Linked DNA regions of Pelodiscus sinensis. The protein of the gene in region 2 interacts with the protein of the main gene of each other region in a pairwise test. Links are inferred from orthologs where the notes say so. Each region holds a gene or a part of one and is shown on either strand. Other genes may lie near its edges.

Region 1 (9,521 bases), on a different chromosome or scaffold from region 2:
TCAAGCTATGTCTCCACTACCACTTATGCATCTGACAAAGTGGGCTCAAGCCCACAAAAGATTATGCCCAAGTACATGTGTTAGTTTTATGGTGCCACAGGACTCCTGGTTGTTTTTACTACCTTTTATGTCGGCAAAACTTACGTTGTTCATGGGATGTGACTATTTCATCCCCCCCGGTCAACAAAAGTGACATTGGCATAAACACTCATGTGCCTAGCGCTATGTCAGCAGGACAGCTTCTCCCACCAACACAGCTTCTGACACTCATGGCAGTGACTTTATTATGCTGAGAGAAGAGCTTTCTCTCATCGGCATAGAGCATCTTCACCACACACACACTGCAGCACTGCTGCTGTGTCCGTACAGCTTTGCTGCTGTGGCGCTCTATGGCAGCGGCGGATTTGGGACAGGGCGAGTGGGGTGGCTGCCCCGGGCCCTTCGCTTGCAGAAGCCCCGCGCATGCGCCGTGGCGCCACAGCGCATGCGCCATGTCAAAGGGGGGACCCCCTGTGAAATTGTGCTGCCTGGGGCCCCACACAGCGCGGCACTCTCATCCGCCCCTGCTCTATGGGTATGTCTAGATTACATGCCTCTGCCGATGGAGGCATGTAAAATAGGCTACTCGACATAGTCAATGAAGCAGGGATTTAAAGATCCCCGGCTTCATTAAAATAAAAATGGCCGCTGCGCTGTGCCGGCTCAGCTGATCTTTGGCACAGCGTGCGAGTCAAGATGTGGATCGGTCGACAAGGGAAGCCTTTGTCTACCACTCCTTTATGCCTCGTGAAATGAGCTTTACAGGAGCGGTTGACAAAGGCTTCCCTTGTTGACCTATCTGCGTCTTGACTCGTGCGCTGTGCCAATGATCAGCTGAGCCAGCACAGTGCGGCAGCCATTTTTATTTTAATGAAGCCAGGGATATTTAAATCCCCGCTTCATTGACTATGTCGGGTAGCCTATTTTACATGCCTCTGTCGGAAGAGGCATGTAATCTAGACATACCCCCAGTGTAGAAATGGCTTTACTCCACTGCAGTTAGAATTTCAACTGTGTTTCTATTTGTATTTCTAATATAATCAATTTTGCTTTCTATACCTGCTACTTAATATATTTTTCTATAGCTAATAATTCTGGTTTATAAATGTTATGATTTTGGCTGACATTCTTGGGGAATCTCAGCTCAGGTTAACAAGGGCTGTTGCACATCCTCTACCCCTTGCTGTAGTGGCAAACTCATAAATGAGTCTGCACAGTCCAAGGGAGTCTTGAGCAGTGAAAGATGATGTATTTCCGGGCTGCAAGGTGGGGGTGATTGGCTGGTGTCCCTCTCTGTATGATTTGCAAATGGCTCAGAAAGCTTTCATGCAATTTAGCTGGTTGTGAGTCTCTGCATACTGAGTGATCACAGCACCTGAAGGAGTTGGCTGTTTGTTATTGGCGAGCCATTGTCAGGGACAGCCCAGGTATAACTGTGCCTTCTCAGTTATGATCCATGAATGCTGCTGAGGAATATAACAAATCTGTCACAAAATGCTGATGGTTATTACCCATGAGATATACCAAACCAGCAACAAAAATAACTTCTGTCTTACCACACAGGCTAACAAGAAGTCATAAAAGCAGTTCCTAAGGCATTCCAGTCTTATTACACCATCAAAAACACTGGTTCCAGAGAGTAAATGTTCCTTACAATCAGTCTCATCAAATAATAGGTTCTTATGATCCCAAAGGATCAGCCATACACCCAGGTCGATATACAGCTCAGATCCTACCCCAAAATTACACTGTTACTCCATCCTAAACGGAAGTATTTTAGCATTTCAACCTGATAACGTCATACTAGGCTGGAGAATTAAGGGACCCACGGGTATGTCTACACTACCCTCCTAGTTCGAACTAGTGGGGTAATGTAGGCATACCGCACTTGCAAATGAAGCCCGGGATTTGAATTTCCCGGGCTTCATTTGTATAAGCGGGGAGCCGCCATTTTTAAAACCCCGCTGGTTCGAACCCCGTGCAGCGCGGCTACACGGGGCACGAACTAGGTAGTTCGAACTAGGAAACCTAGTTCGAACTACCTAGTTCGTGCCCCGTGTAGCCGCGCTGCACGGGGTTCGAACCAGCGGGGTTTTAAAAATGGCGGCTCCCCGCTTATGCAAATGAAGCCCGGGAAATTCAAATCCCGGGCTTCATTTGCAAGTGCGGTATGCCTACATTACCCTCCTAGTTCGAACTAGGAGGGTAGTGTAGACATACCCCCAGTTGTCTCCCAGATCCAGCTTGTACCATAGGGATCCCATCATTGAATTGTGACTCTAGGAATTTAGTTCGAGTTCCACCATATACCTCCTGGCTACGTCTAGACTGGCATGATTTTCCGCAAATGCTTTTAAACGGAAAAGCTTTTCCGTTAAAAGCATTTGTGGAAAAGAGCATCTAGATTGGCACGGACGCTTTTGCGCAAAAGCACTTTTTGCAGAAAAGCATCCGTGCCAATCTAGACGCGGTTTTGCACAAGAAAGCCCTGATTGCCATTTTCGCCATCGGGGCTTTTTTGCGCAAAATGGTTCTCAGCTGTCTACACTGGCCGTCTTACGCAAAAGCATTTGCGCAAGAGGGCTTTTTCCCGAATGGGAGAGTCATTGTATTTGCAGAAGAACACTCACAATCTTACATTAGATCGTCAGTATTCTTGCGCAAATTCAAAGCGGACAGTGTAGACAGCTGGCAAGTTTTTCCGCAAAAGCAGCCCCTGTGTGATTTTGCCCATCTCAATCAGGGCAGTGTTTTTAAAGCACCTGTTAGAACCTGCAAGGCTGGAACCTGGGAGTTCTGCGTCACTGACACGTCCACATTGCCACAGGAGACTGAGGCTAGGCTCCTCCAACAGGACCATGTGAGGTAGGGCTCAGTCAGAAGGATTGCCCGGAAGGATCACATAGAAGGACCTGAGTGTTGGCTTCTTCAGTTCCTGGACTGGCTGATACCAGTATAACCCCCTTTTTCCTCCCTGGGTTACTTGGAGCAGGTCACACTCACAGGTGTGCCTGGGCGCCTTATGTTTTTAACATAAAAGGAGATCCTGAGTACCCCAGTGGTGATGTTGTTTAGTTGGGGATTCCCTGTCCCCCCGCTTCCTGCAGTCCCTTGCTCCGTAAGAATACACAATGGTCGTGCCCCCACCTGTCTGGCCCTGTATACACTTAATGGTGTGCCTTGGGAGCCTCCAGGAATAAAATTATTCCAACAGTAATCTGGATCTAACCCCAGGACAACTCTTATAAATAATATACATCTAATTGATTACATAGAATTAACACACCTTTACTTAACAACTTAAAGAAACAGGGTTTAACAGATTAACAGTGAGTAAAATCAATTAACAAAGTACACAGAAATAATAGGAACTTATCTATCTGGCATTTGCACTGCCACCATTTATCCCACCCCAGAGTGTGCACTCCTCTGGAGTCAGAGTCCCGGACACTTGCTTGCGTGGGCACGCTTGAAGGTCTGTAGCTATATGTGGAGACAGCACTGTGCAGGTCCTATGTGTGTTAGCCCAAGCTGAGTAGCCAGCTGCAAAATCCCTCTGCCACTGGAGCAGGCTCCACCAAATGCCAGCAGCTTTGGTTCACTGGGCTGGTGCTGAGCTTTGTCCCAGGCAGCTCTTTTCCAGAAAAACCCAGTGAGTTACTTACAGTTTCCATCTGTGTGCCGGTTTTTAGTCCTTCTCAGCTGCAGACACAGCCAGAGTCTCTTCCCTCTAGGGCAATCAACAGTCTCTGAAGCAGCCTGCTAGATCCAAGCCCCGCAGGCTCTCAGTCCCAGGCTGTAGCTGCAACACCACAGCTTCTGGACTGGACAAGGCTCCTCCACAGCAGTCTGGCTCCTCTGTCCCAAAATAGAGAGCCCTCTCTACCAACATGCCTAGACAAGCCCCACTTCCCCTTTTTTTCTCAAGGGCTCATGGGAGTTGTAGTCTCTACGGCTAGATTGCAGCACACAGGATCCTCCCAGAAAAAGTCAGAGACCCCTTTAATAAGGGGACTACACCAGTATTTAAACCAAGAAGCTATGAAGGGGAGATGTCTGAGCAATAAAAGACTATCTGCCAGTCTCTGCTCCAGACCCTGCTGGATCCTAGAAACTCCAACTTCCAGCCCTGATTTGTCCTCAACTTCAGTGTTCAATTGCTAGCTGTTATCTGGTTCCTGATCCCAATTTCCTGGTAACCTTACCCTGCCTGTCTCCTGATGCCTGACTCTCAGTTCACCATATGGCCTGTCTTGGACTCTGACCTCCTGGTGCCTGACTCAACTTGACTCCTTCTCCAGCCATTAGGTTGAACTGACCTTGTCCTGGATGTGAGAGCACCTAAGTGACATAATCACCTGAGTCATATTGAAAATCAAGTGACTCGTGCTCTTGAAAATCTTACCCTTAATCTTTCACTGTCTCAAAATTCCATCTGTGTGTGTGATTTTGGTTTGTTAAGCTCTATGCCTTAGAGGTAATTGCAGGATAAATGTCAGTGTTTGTGCAGTCTTCAGCTATTAAAGTGATTTGGCCTGCTGCATGTTTTAGAGTCACCCCTTTTGTGATGTGCTGTTACAGACGCAGCCAGCCACTGAATCATGGTGGCTCTTCAAACAGGGCTATATGAATGCAAGCTAAATATTGTTTAGTTCACACCAGCAGCATCAACACAGAGCAATTAGAGCACAATGATTTGGTGTACTCTGCAATTCACACCCCCATGTCTGCACTGTAGGACAATATAGACAAGCCCTGAAACACTGTGGTAAACCTGCAATGCTTATAGACATCAGCACTACAGCATGGGCAAGTGCTCCAAAGCAAACATAAACAAGAGATGAGGAAAAAAAATTAACTGAAAAAGGACCATATTGTCTCTTTCACCAAGAGAAAAGTTGGTCCTTGTCTCTCTAATATCCTGGGACCAAAAAGTTACAAGAAGCTGCTAACAACATTTATAAGGAATGTTCAATTTGGTCCTGATTTTGAGAAGTGGCTGCACTCAGCAAACAAACCCAATGTATAATGTTAAGATTGTGGATACAGGTAGATAACTATTCAACGGTTTACATGTACACACAAACCAGTAGGATACCTGTAGTGCCTTAAAGCCTAACAATTGCAGGGGGAAGGGGAGCTGCATAAGCTTTCATGGTCTGGAGATGCATTGTGGGTTCCAGCCTATGACAGTGTAAGCCGAAACAAAATAGTTAGTCTTTAAGGTGCCACAGGTCTTCTCATTGTTTTTGCTGAAGCAGGGTAACACAGCTATCTCTGAAACGCAAACCACTGCAGATTTTAAAATGTACATATGCATGTACAAAATCAGAGTCTGCTTTTGAAAGCCAAAGCTTTCTATTCCATGCTTTTTAAGAGGACAAAGACTGGAATGCAAAATAAGTTTAAAAAAAAACTAAATGAAAAGTTGTAGGGAGAAGCCCTTTTGACTGTACACTCCTGGTAGGCACATTTAAATCAGCTTCCTTCAATAATGCTTCAGCTTTAGGCTGGTTGCAAAGAACTCATGATTTCCAGGAGACTGAAAGAAAAATAAATTACAGCTTCAAGAAATAATTGGCCTCTGCTATCTCCTCCAATCCAAGTACATCCACAATTACTATGTTCATGTGATGTGCAGAAAAATGAACAGTCAAAGCTTGAAGGAAGGTTTTTTTTTAAAGAGTGACTATACATCATTTAGGTGCTCACTGTATTTATTTTTCATAGAGTTTCTTCTATGTCTGCAGTTACTGAATAGAATCTTGCAGACCATACGGCATCAGTAATTGGTTCACCTATCATACCAGCACACTTACCCATTAGTTCACAGCTGCATCTCTACCTCTGTATATCACATTTTTTGCCCTCTTCACCTGGGTAGTGAGGATCAGGAAACAGCTCTCTAAACCAGATGTCTTGTGTTCACTTCACTTTTATGAAGATGAGAAGGAAAAACAAGTCCAAGAGAAGGCAGCAGAGGAGTAAGAAAGGCAAGATATAGCAAAGCTGGTGTGATGTTTATCTCAGACTGTTACTATCAGACTCTCATTGTGCTATAATTCAGAGTCATGCTGAGAAGAAATTTCCCAAAAGTCCTTTTTTGAATTTTTCTAATAGGACAGGGTTGCTCTGACAAAAAGCAGAACAGGTGGCCACTCTGAGGCCTGGTTTACATTAGGAAATTAGATCAATATAACTACTTCTCTCCACGATGTGAAAATCCATACCCAAGTGACACAGATAAACCAACTTAACGCCTTTGTAGCCAGCGGTAGGTTGATAAGAAAATTCTCTCAGGCCTGGTCAACACTGCTACTTAAGTCAGCCAGAGGTGTGACACCCTCCCCCTCGCTGAGTGATATAGCTTATATCAATCTACCCAGATCGTGCTGTGTCTTTCCTACCACCTCTCGGGGAGGCGGAGTACAGGTATTGAAATTGATAGCAGAATTCTCTGCAAAGCAAATGAGGCAGGCAGGACCTGGAAGAGCCAGCATTGGGACTGGCCCCCACGCCTGAGGAAGTCAGGTGCAAAACCTGGGGGTGCTGCAGCATCCCCCACACTCCTACTTCTTGTGTCTGTCATTTCCAGTTTTTGTCATGGGAAAGTTAATATGCTTTTTTCCGAAGAGGTAGCCATGTTAGTCTGTTTCAGAAAACACAATGACGAGTCCTGTGGTTGGCATCTTAAAGACTAACAAATTGATTTAGCTAAAACTCATTTAATCAGATGCATACTTTTTTCCTCTTCTCTTCTTGATACATAGAAAATATACATACCACATGATTACAGAAACCTTGTAGGATGGAAAAACAGAATGACTATCATCCCAATTACTAGCAGACAAGCATTTCTCCTTTAAAGAAAAAAAGCTTTTGTTCCCAGGATGAAATCCTGCCTCCACTGAAGTAAAGTAGATTTTTGCCACTATAGACTGACTACCCTTCCCTCCCCAGGTGAATGCCCTAGCTAGCCACTAGTCAACAGGAGAACCCATCCCACCACCTTACCTTCAGGGTGTCCCTTATGCCGCCTTCCACATGGACAGCACGGGTGGAGGGGAGGTGGGATAAGGGATGCCCTGAAGGCATCTAGACTGCCAAGAAAAGTCGGCAAAAGATACCCAATTTGCATATCTTTTTTTGCTTTGTTTTCCGAAAGAGGCTTTTCTGACATTTGGCCAAATTTCAGAAAAAAGTCCTCTTTTGGAACATCCTTTATTCCTGTCACCAAGAGGAATACAGGGATACTGAAAGAACATGTACGCTTTTTCGGAAACTGTTCTGAAAAAGCATACACATTCCTCTGGTATCCTGGAAAAGCTCTGCAGTCTAGACATAGCCTCTGTCAGCAAACAAGAATCAATAAGGTTGTACTACCACCTGGACTGAGCTGTGTCTAACCTTCTAGCCAAAAAAAAAAAGAATTAACACAGATACTCAGGTGGTAGTACAACATCAGAAAATCATTGGCAAAAATGAGTCCAAATGTGAAGCGCAACACACAGAGTCAAAAAGTCTTGTTTAAATGACACCAGGAGTACAGTACCCAAGGCCCCGATAAAAGATAGTGAAAGCAGCAGCCAGAATAAAAAGGAGCAATTAAGAGCTTCTGTCATAACAACCAGTTTATATTCTATTCTAGAATTACTCAAAAGGGATGTATTTTATAGTTCATTTAAATGAAGGAGAGCTGCAATTAGCCCCATTTTATTAGACTAAGGACTAGTCTAACTTCTGTTCACACACACAAATCTCTATCTTGTGTTAGGTAGTGCTTTAAACTTGAGCTAGCTGACCTAAATGGAGGGTTAAAAATGTAAGTGACTTTATATGTGTGGGGTGGAATTCTGACCCTATTCAGGGCTAGCCCACAACATTTTGGCACATGAGGCAGGGAGCTCAAATGATGCCCGAATGACCCTTTGCTTGGGCCAAAACTTTGAAAAGTCCCAATTTTGCCTTCTTCCTGTTCTACTCCTCTCATGGTACTGCAGAGAGAATACCTATGCACCAGCAGCAGATACAATTTTCTACACTCTGGGTCCTAATGGTGCCCCCCCCCACAGTCTGGCACCTGAGGTGGCCACCTCAGTTCGCCTCATGGTAAGGCCAGCCCTGACCTTACTGAAGACCAGGACTTCAAGATTCAAACACAAGGGGGACTAAAAATCAAACCCCAAATCCCATAAAACTCTCTCTCCTCTCTCTGTATATTTCCCCCTATGAAAAGTTACCTCAGGTTATTCCTGATAGCTTTGAAAATATAGTCAGATTGCACAGTTAATGTCAAACACTTGCCAGTGTCTCTTAGCTTCCTCCACATGTATTGAGATAAAGGATTCACTGAGACGTTATAGGAAGAAGCACAAAACACCAAAAAGTATACATTTGGTCCAAATTCATTTTTTTCCTTGAAGTTTACTCATTGAAAAACATTCTACAATAGTCCTGCATCTGTTTCCCTTTCTAAACTAATTTAAATTCTCTCTTAGGTGTCTGAACCTACTTTCGGAGACTTTAAACTTGGGGCATGCTCTCTCTTCCTTTACGAAAAGGTTGTGCAGTTGCTTTTCATTGTCTGAGATTTTGCTAGCTCTCTAACCATGCTGCTCATAAAAATACAATCTGAATCTTGTTAATGTGTGACAAGAAGAGCAAAAGAGAAACACAGAGGCACAAGTGTGTTATTAGAGAGTAAAACTGCTACCTGTCTCAAGCTCAGAATTCTCGCCCAGCAATGTAATAATGCTTTCAACTTTATAGCTGTTTAGGATGTTACTACATTGTGGAAAAAGAAATAGCAGACTATTTTGACATAATATTATGAAGGGGCTTTACATTATTTATCATTCTGAGAATGTACAAATAACTGTGAGCACAGCTGACTTCCACAGTATATCCTCCTTAGGGGTTCTGCTTGATTGCTTAGATTCATCATCTCCTTCAGTCTTTCAGATCTCTTCCTATCCATAGCATTTAATCCATACACTGTATTGGAATGCATGTCTCCTAGGTTAGTTCATTATAATCTCATCTATTTCTCCAATTCTCTTTCTCATGAATCTCTAGACATTGGCATATTCATTAGACATTGTAGCAGGTGATTCTGCTCAGCCAAGCAATTTCATATAAATATTAAAAGGGGTCAGGGAGAATTTTTCCCCTTCCAAGTTCTTCTGCATGTAAATTACATCCCTTCTAAGATAGGTTTCAGAATGGATCATTAACTTTGGGTGTATAAGATAAATAGAAATCTCCTTTGCTTAGAGGGTTATGTTGAATAATGTTCACATTACTTAATTGATTAATCTAATTATACCAGTCCCACTATAGCAAGCATAGTGTGAGACTGTTACACAGTTGATTGCATCTGAAATAACTAGATAACTTTTTCAATTGTACTTTAGTGACTAATGCATTATATACAAGCAATCGCATGTGCACAATCCTTTCTGCCTTAAAAAACAGTGCAAATA
Region 2 (9,709 bases):
AGAATGTGGCCAGAAAGAACAGAAGGAAAGACAAAGAGGAGTCAATGCAACAGCTCCCATCAAACCAGAAGTAATGTGGACGGACTTATGAGCACTAAGGAGAGGTTAATTATAAACATAGAATTACAGAAGTCCATAAAAGAAGCAAAAAATTGCAAAAAGGACCACACAAGAGGATAGTACAAAGGCATAAGTGCAGAAATGAAAGAACACAGCAGAGAAATAGACACAAAATGTTATATCTTGGTATTTTTATACTACAGGTTCAACTAGAGATGTTAAATTTAATCAACTAATCAACTAGTCGATGGATTTTCCATTGACTAGACAAGAAGTGAGGGAGCTACAGTGGGGTTAGCTCCCAGCCCAGGATCTAACTCCACTGCAGCTCTGAGTTTTAAATGTATTAAGAGCCTACTGACAGCAGGAGGGACCCAGTGTGAGCCCAGGACAGCTGATTCCCAGCTGCACCGGATCCCCCCCCCCCCCCGCCTCCACTGCGCATCAGCCTTTTACATGTATTTTAAGACAGCTCCCCTCAGCCCTGCCTCCCGCACCCCACTCTGATAAAGGCAGCTAATGGTAGAAGTGATTGGTTGCTTACATTCTCAGTTGAACCTTTGTAGTCCAGTACCCTCAGGACCTGACCAATGCTGAACCTCAGGAGGTCTATTTGTCTAGCAACTTTACCAACATTTCCACTGATTATTGGGTTCTTAGAAGACATTTAGTGGTAAACTGGAGGTAAATAATAGCACGGGCCATTGAAAACCAGGGTTGGTGGCTGGAAACAAACTTTATGGCAGGGATGGGAAACCTAAGGTCCAGGGACCACATGCAGCCCCCAGCTTGTCTGGATCCGGGCCCCGAGTCTCAGGGCACCCCTCAGCATTGGGGAGCCCACTCTGGCGCTCCAGCTCCCCACCACACACACCTCCCCGTAAGGCTGGAGCACACAAAATCTACTAGGCTCTGGTATGTGAGGGGAATATAAGGAGTGTCTTTCTCCTTTTCAGTTAGGGGCCACATCAGTTAAGATTTGGGTTTTTTGCTTCTCACTTGCGTGTGGCCCCCAATTGACTTTTCGGTGGTTCAGCTGCCCCAGTCCAAAAAAGGCTCCCCACCCCTGCTTTATGGGACTGCAGAAAACTTAGCCACACCCATGATAAGTGTACATTTAGCTAACTTAAATCATGCCAGAACACAGATGTTAATGGACCAGAGAATGATGGACTAGAAAGGTTCAACCTGTATATCTACTTTGTGTACATGTTTCCTAACAGAACAGAGAGGCTTAGCACATGTATGACTCCAAACCATAACTTGTGATCATGGTGTGGCTCATGTAAAAAGTTTGACTGTTCTGATTACATAAGAGACCATTAAAGCTCTACTAGCTCAAAAAACACGTCATGTTTCCTAATGTATTAAATGTACTCAATTAATTTGAACAGCATACATCAAGGATTATGTAGGTAAAAAAAAAAAAAATCTAAAAAAGGTATATATGGAGTTGTATCTACAGAAATTAGGTGTATTTGCAAAGTGGTCCTTTGTACAGATATACCCCTTTCCTTACACACACATCCCTTCCAAAAAAAGTATAAAATGTACTGAATAAAAATTGTAGCACACTGTGACTTATCAACACAGTGGTAAATGTTATGCTGTTAAACACATACACAGTAAGTTTAATGGCTCCTGTCCTTAATATTAACACCATGTTTCTGAACTTAATGTAGCTAGGTGAAACTGACCAGTAACAGTAAAGATCTATAATTAAACTTGCTCGTCACTAGATTTGTCTCGGTTTAAATTGATACCTTCTGTCCTATAACTTAAGAAACACACACTACCTGCCATTGTAGTTCATGTGTGAATGAGTCACCAGAGTCAAGATAAGCCAAACAATTTTTGAAAAGTAATTTGGGAAGTCAGAAAATGGAGCAACGCAGGACACTCTGACAATAAGGTATCCCCATCATGAAATGAGAGTGTAGGATTACTCACGGAAAGTTACTCATGGAAAGTGAATAATTCACTTCTTACATATTTCAACACTACAGAGAGCAATATGAGGTTTTCCTGAAACACATGCTAAAGCTTTGCCAGACATTTTATCTGGAAAAATCATCAATAACTACTTTGCAGAACAAAAATCTATAAGCTAAGATGGAATCAGGTGAAGAGCTCTAACTAATCATATTAAACCTAGGTCAAAGTTACCAAGCAAAATGTTCAGCAGTACAAATATCTCCTACTTTACTGCTCTGAATCAAACCATATATCCAGTTGAGTATAAAAGTCAGTCATCGGTCAGATATAGTCACACTTAACTAAATGAATCTCACCTGTAACACAAACATATATACGGCTTATTTTAAACTATAGGACAATCAGTTTTAAATAGCCTTCATCTAACTATAGAATTTGAATTCTAGTATTCCATCAAATCTAGAGTGAATGTCTCAAGACCTTAATTTTGAATCCTATAATAAACTGTTTGATTTAATATTTTGTATTTAATTTTTTCTATTCTTTATTGTATCTATATTGTAAAGTAACATTTTTCACAGACACATAGAATCACAAATTTTGGAGGAAAGTGCTTTTACAGACAGGAGACAACTCTTAAAACATTTAGCCTCATTTGCATATTTCTCGCGCAAGAAGCCGCGAGTGTAGACATAGCCCTATAGTAAAAGTAGAAGCGTCAGTACTGATCAAAGTGCACAGAATTAAGAGTTCTACAAAAAAGAACCATCCAAAATGTAACTAAAATAAACAGAAACAATGAGGAGTCCTGTGGCACCTTAAAGACTAACAGATTTGGACATATGTTTTCATGGACAAAGACCTACTTCATCAAATTCATGATCAGTATTTCTTGGTCTCCCCTTATCGCTTCTACTGTTTTCTCAAAGATTAAGCTGGGACCAGATATAAAAGGGTTGAGAAGTTATCCATTGGAATCTACTCAGAGTTGATCACAGCCTCTTCCCTAGAAAGATTACTTCTGTTTATTTTAACAAGTAGCAGGAGGTAGGGATGTAGTAGTAAAATTGATTAACTAATGAGCAAAAGCGTATAAGTTAATGCTATAGATGACACACATTCCCCCTCCATCTCCTGCTCCCCCGGGTAATTTTTTTTAGCAGGCTGACCAGCAGCATGGCTGAGTCCCAGCTTGCACCGGGTCCAGGACCTATCCCTGTTGCAGCACTGCATTCGATGTGTATTAGGAGCCAGGCAGGCAGGCAAGCCCGCCTCCATTCTGGCTCACTCCGGATCCGAGAGCTCAAATCCGCACACACTCCCCCGAATAGGGGCTGCTGCCACCCCATGCTGCTACCTCTGTATCAGAGGCAGCGGGGATGGCAGGCAGCTGGTCCACAAGGGGAGCTGGTTTTTAAACTGGCTCCTCTCTCCAATCAGCTCCTGCCTGGCACACCACTCTGCTGCCTCTGATACAGAAGCAGTAGCACAGAGCGGCAAGGGGCTCCTTGGGAATGGGTCCAGATTGCACTGGCTGCTGGCCCCACACCTGGGGATTATAGAATTGTCGAGTAACCAATAAGAATTCATGAGGTTAATTGACTATTCAATTAATGGATATTTAAGATCCCTAATCAGAGGCTCAGCTGTGTTAGTTTGTATTTGTAAAAAGAACAAGGGGTCCTGTGACATCATAAAGACTATGAGATTTATTTGGGCATAAGCTTTCGTGGGCAAAGATCCACTTCATCCAAGCAGGAATGTTTCTTGTTCCTGAGGCAAGCCAAAAAGAGCATGGCCATCTTGTGTCAGATACCAGCTGCTCAGTAAATAATGATAATCGCTGCACTACATAAACATCTTTTTTTACTCATTATTACAAAGCAGATTTCAATGAATAACTTCTCAACCCTTTCATATCTGGTCCCAGCTTAGTCATTGGGGAAAACAGGACAAGGAGAGAAAGAGTCACACAGATCAATATACCAAATCCCAAATAAGGGACAGAAGAGAATACTTAAACCAGAAAAGCTTAATACAATATAAAATTAATTTGGTATTTATAAATTAACAGTTTTAGTCTCATTTCCTTTATGCTGATAATGTACAGTAATAAAAATGAAAGGAATAAAAATGAATAAAAATGTCTGAAAAGTAGAATAAACTGGAGTCTGAAGCAATGTTTTCACTTTCTAGGAATTTTGCAAGTAAATAGAAGAACAGCTCACAAAGATGTCAAAACAGTTGACTGAGATAGACTGCTTTGCAATATGTTTAGCAAATGAGCATGCTGAAAATGCAATATATATATACACAAGAAGAAGAACAATTATGCTTATTTTAAAAAATAGTGTCAAAGACACTAGTATCAAATGTGTTTAAAGTGAAAGATACTAAGGGTGGCAACTGCCCTGGCCTCCCCAGCCTACAAATAAATAATCGATCTGTAATAAAAAAGCAGTTGAGATCTATAGACTCAATCTGATCTGAGCCACAAGGAGCTGCTCTGTCCTTTAAGTTTGAGGAGCACACTTTTAGATGCTCGGGAGGAGGAGAGCACTGTAGGGGGAAATGAAGAGACAAGCAACGAATCCCGAGCTGCGGAAGGATGGCTCATTAGGCGTCCTTCATTGTCGTTGGATCGTCAATGCCCCCTCAATTCCCAGCCCCCATCCCTCAGGAGACAGAGATGTTAAAACAAAGTTGATCAGCCATTTCCACGGTATCGTTGCTGCTTCTACTCCAGAAACCCGCTGAGCGGGAGAGACGCGTCTCTTCCTTCCTACCGCCCCCCACCCCGGACCCCAACTTAGGAGGCGTCCCGTAGAGGAAACCTGAGCCATGGGGGAAGGGAAGCCAATTCATTGTCCCTAGATGGCTCTGCCTCCTTCCCTCCCGCCCCATCACACGTCCCTCCTCACGCTCAAAGGGAGCCAATTCCTACCCCCGCAGAGAAGTCCCCACCCCCGCTCAAGAGCCCGTTGGGTCAGCCCGGCCCCCGCCCTTCACACGGAGGGTCTATGCGCCCCGAAGTCACTTTGGCTCCCCCCCCCCAGCCGTTCTTACCGCTCACGGGCCCCGGACACTGGCGGGGCTGAGGGGTTCGTTTGCCGCCGAGCCCCGGGACGAGCCGACTCACTCTGGCACCGACAGCCTCACTCCACTCAACTACCCGAGCCAGCGGCCGGCCACAGGCAGAGACCACGCCCCCCACGGCTCGTGACACTAACTGTCCCTCCTTCCCCGCGCGCGGCACCCATCCTCTCTTGCGCGCTCGGAGCAAGAGACTCCAGCTAGTCGCGCGCTCCCGAGCGTATAGGAGAGTGAGCCAGGAGCGCGCGACCCCAAAGCGCACGCCGATTGGCTCGAATCGTAGCAAAGGGCGTGGCGCGGCGAGGTAGGCTCGACCGGTTTGTCGAGACATGCTCCCAGCGTGGTCGGTGCTGGAAAAGGGGGAAACTACGACCCCCAGCATCCTTTGCGCCCACCCTGCCGCCGGCCCTTTAAAAATTGAACACGTCACTGTGCGTGCAAGAGGCAGTACACTGCCGCCAGCTGGATCAAATAGTTCCTCGCTGCCTTTCTGCCCCTTTCCTTTCTCCGGCCTCAAAGGTGGAGCTAGAGGAGTCGGTTCCATCCGCCTTCGTTGTCGAGTCCCTTGCAGAGTCTTTCTACGGGGAAATAGGAGCGGGGAGAGAGGCTGTGAGGGGGCGGAGAGATCTGCGAGGGGCAAGAGGAGGGTAATGCGGCTGTGTGAGAGAGGCTGGAGGAGACTGAGTGGGGTGAGGGGAATTGCTCCGTAGGGGACCCCCTGGAAAGCCATCCTGCGGCAGGTCAGTAAAGAGGGGGTGGGAGATCCTCGCCCCCTCTTCCCGTTCGTGGGGTGCGTGAGAGGGCCTCTCCGGGGAGGCGACACCCCATTTCCTGGCTCTCAGAGGAAGGGGCCTGCCCAGGCACTCAGACCCCAGGAGAAATCTTCCGCCCTCACTAGCCCCGCAGCCGTTACTCAGTCTCACTAACGTCTCTCGTGGCGAGGAGAGGAGGGGATGAGCCACTGGGCTTCCTCGCTCCCATCCCCACCGGACACCAAAGGAAATCGAAGCGCTTTTTCTACGCCAGGAACCAGGGCCTCGTGTGGGGAGGAGGCTCGGAGGGGAAGGACGTGTCAGGCGGATCTGGGACCTCTTCTCATACAACCCCCAGGCTTGTTACGGCACAAAGGGACAAATAAGGGGATGCTGGTCCTTTAATGTCTTTCCTCCATTAACCTGAACTATCTTGGAGGCGGTAGGGAGTTAACACTAAGATTGAAAATCCACTCATTAATGGGGAGCTTTCACAGCCAGTTCGTGTAGCATTTAAGTTTCTATTCCTTGCAGAGAAAATTCTTCTTAAATCTTCAGGTATTTCAGAATAGAATTGACAAGACTGGTCAGTTTCACTGCTACAGGGAGACCAATGGCTTAGCAGTAAAACAGATGAATCTGATGTCAATGTCATGTTGTTTCTGTTAAGGAATGCCCTTCAAAGGTACCCCCCAAAATATGCTTGTAGGTGGAATGAAACAGTGGAATGATTCTTACCTCCCCTTCACTGAAGGGAGAATTGAAGCTGCTGAGCTCTATTTTACAGAGTTTGATTTAGTGAGTCTGGTTAAGACTCACTAAATGGAACTCAGAGGATGCCTGGAGGGAAGCTGATGGGAGCATTTGCTCCCTTCAGCCTCCCACTGTGGAGTTGGTGGGGAAACTTGAAACAAGGTATGTGGACTCTAGCTATGTAATTAACATAGCTGGAGTTGCATACCTCCTGAGAAGGGGTGTAAGATGTATTTTTACCCTCTGCTAGCAGCCAGGAAGCTGTGTGGGGAAGAGAGAGAAAACAAACTGCTGGAAGTGAGAAGCAGCATTAGATCAATCGCCTCCTGTCTAGAGGCAGAAAGATGAAAGATTGGGACATTGCTCACCTTTTCAGCAGTTGCAGTCTAGGTTTCCTACCAAGGAATTGGCTTTGAAATTTGCTGAAGGAAAACAAGCATATTTCTCACTGGCATATAGTTAATAGCTTTAGAACTCTTTTAGTAGGTGACTGGTACATTTTTCAAAACCTATTTCACAGATGCTAAAAGTGAGGCATATAAGAGGGTTAACCTGCTTCAGGCCCATAACAAATCAGTGCTTGAGCTGGGAATTGAACTTGAGATAACACTGGCACTACAGTGTTGATTTATGATCCCTGAAAATATATACCTAACAGCATGTTGAAAATAAAAACGTTTTTCATTGATTATGATGGTTATTTAAAATGCTAGGAAACTGTAACAGACACAGATGAGCACGATGACCAGTTTTTCAACTGCTAATTCAAAATGGAACATTAACATTACTTTTTAAAAACTTCAGAGGGGTAGCCGAGTTAGTCTGTAATGCTATGTCTAGACTACATCCCTCTGTTGGCAGAGGGATGTAAATGAGGCACTTTGAAAGTGCAAATGAAGTGGGGATTTAAATATCCTGCCCTTGATTTGCATAATTGTGTCATGGCGCTTTTTTGAAAAAGCACCATTTAGAAAGTAAAACTGTGGTCTAGACACAGCGAAACTGGAAAAACTTAAACAACAAATAGTCTTGCAGCACATTAAAAACTAAAAAAACATGTAGATGAGCTTTCGTGGGCATAACCCACTTCTTCAGCTTACTTTACCTTTGTTTTGTCTTAAGTTATGCAGCGGAGGATTGAAGAGATTACAAGACACTATAACTCGAGAACTAACTCTATTCTTAGAGGTATTTATGGAGGATGAGATGTATGAACTGACCAACAGTTGAGAAGAGTGAGGAGTCTGAGGCTATATCTACACTCCTGCTTTTTCACAGAAAAGGAAATGCAAATGGAGCACTAATTAGCATATCTCATGCTCTCATTTGCATATTCTTTTCCAATCCTTTTTGCAGAAGAGGATTTTGAGCAAAAAACCACAGTGTAGATGGGGCCATTTTGCACAAAAAAACACTTTTGTGCAAGAACCCCTTATTCCTCAAGAACCTTAAGGAATATGGGTTCTTGCATTAAAGGGTTTTTTTGTACAAAATGGCCCCATCTACACTGTGTTTTTTTTGCTCAAAAACCTCTTCTGCAAAAAGGATTGGAAAAGAATATGCAAATGAGAGCGAGATATATGCTAATTAGCGCTCGATTAGCATTTCCTTTTCTGGGAAAAAGCAGGAGTGTAGACACAGCCTTTATTTTTTACCGGGTAGTTGTCTTTAGCAACCACATGTAGGCTACGTCTACACTCTTGCGCAATACTGAAAAGTAATAGGTGTAACGGCATTGCGCAAGAGGGTTTTTCTTGCGCAAGAAGGGGCAGTGTAGATGCTCCTTCTTGCACAAGAGCCTCTTCTGGAAAAAAGGTGGCTCGTTAGGTATGCAAATGAGGCTCAGCGATATTCCATGCTGAGCCTCATTTGCATATTACTCCCACAAGAAGCCGCGAGTGTAGACATAGCCATAGTGTTCTTCTTTCATTCACATCTAGTGGTTAGAAGGGGATGGTGGGGATAAGAGAACTTTCTTTTTTTTTCCTTTCTCTGTTAAGAATCTCTCTGTCATTATCTTTCTTTCACAGACTACTAGTTCACTCTGTCCCCACCTTTCATTTATTTTAATGTAAGGTCTTTCCCCTGTGACATAACCCGCATGTTTACAATGGCTCCTTCTGTGGCTAATTGTTTTCTGAGAAGCAGTTGCTTGAAATTGGCTTTTTTGACAGTTTCACTGATGCACACAAGCTTTTGAATAGTTGCAGTGAAACTGATGCTTTGCCATGCTGATGGATAACAAAAGAATAGTTAAGAAGTTTTATCAAACACCTCCTATCTAGAGGCCTAAAAGACAAGGTGATAAATCAACTTGGATTTGTCAAGAATAAATCATGTCAAGCCAACGCAATCATAGAACTGGAAGAGACCTCAGAGGGTCATCAAGTCCAGCCCCCTGCCCAAAGCAGGACCAATCCCAACTAAATCAACCCAGCTAGGGCTTACTCAAAATGAGACTTAAAAACCTCTATGGATGGAGATTCCACCACCATTCCAGTGCTTCACCACCCTCCTAGTGAAATAGATTTTCCTAATATCCAACCTAGATCTCTCCCACTGTAACTTGAGACCATTGCTCCTTGTTCTGCCATCCGTCACTACTATGAACAGCCTTTCTCCATCCTCTTTGGAACCTCCCTTCAGGAAGTTGAAGGCCGCTATCAAATTCCCCCTCACTCTTCTCTTCTGCAGACTAAACAAACCCAAATCACTCAGTCTCTCCTCATAGGTCATTTGCTCCAGCCCCCTAATCATTTTGTTCATCCTCCACTGGATTCTCTCCAATGTGTCCACATCCTTTCTATAGTGGAGGCCAAGAACTGGACACAATACTCCAGATGTGGCCTCACCAGAGCTGAATAAAGGGAAATAATCACTTCTCTGTATCTGCTGGCAATGCTCCTCCTAATGCACCCTAATATGCAATTAGCCTTCTTGGCTACAAGGGCACACTGTTCACTCATACCCAGTTTCTCATCCACTGTAATCCCCAGGTCCTTTTCAGCAGAACTGCTACTTAGCCATTCAGACCCCAGCCTGTAACAATGCTTGGGATTCTTCCGTCCCAAGTGCAGGATTCTACACTTGTCCTTGTTGAACCTCATCAGATTTCT

What was found.
Region 1: the proteins of HMG20A (region 2) and HPCAL1 interact in binary tests that used the Homo sapiens proteins (3 or more experiments, as listed by UniProt). The two-hybrid records come from large-scale screens. The link is inferred for Pelodiscus sinensis from reciprocal best matches to the Homo sapiens genes HMG20A and HPCAL1.

Annotation. Positions count from the first base shown.
Region 1 is NC_134713.1:27,068,872-27,078,392, forward strand, and holds the start of HPCAL1 (hippocalcin-like protein 1), read right to left. Parts: upstream 3,895-9,521; 5' UTR 3,705-3,894; intron 1-3,704. UniProt on the Homo sapiens protein: May be involved in the calcium-dependent regulation of rhodopsin phosphorylation.
Region 2 is NC_134724.1:33,086,117-33,095,825, forward strand, and holds the start of HMG20A (high mobility group protein 20A), read left to right. Parts: upstream 1-5,682; 5' UTR 5,683-5,828; intron 5,829-9,709. UniProt on the Homo sapiens protein: Plays a role in neuronal differentiation as chromatin-associated protein. Acts as inhibitor of HMG20B. Overcomes the repressive effects of the neuronal silencer REST and induces the activation of neuronal-specific genes.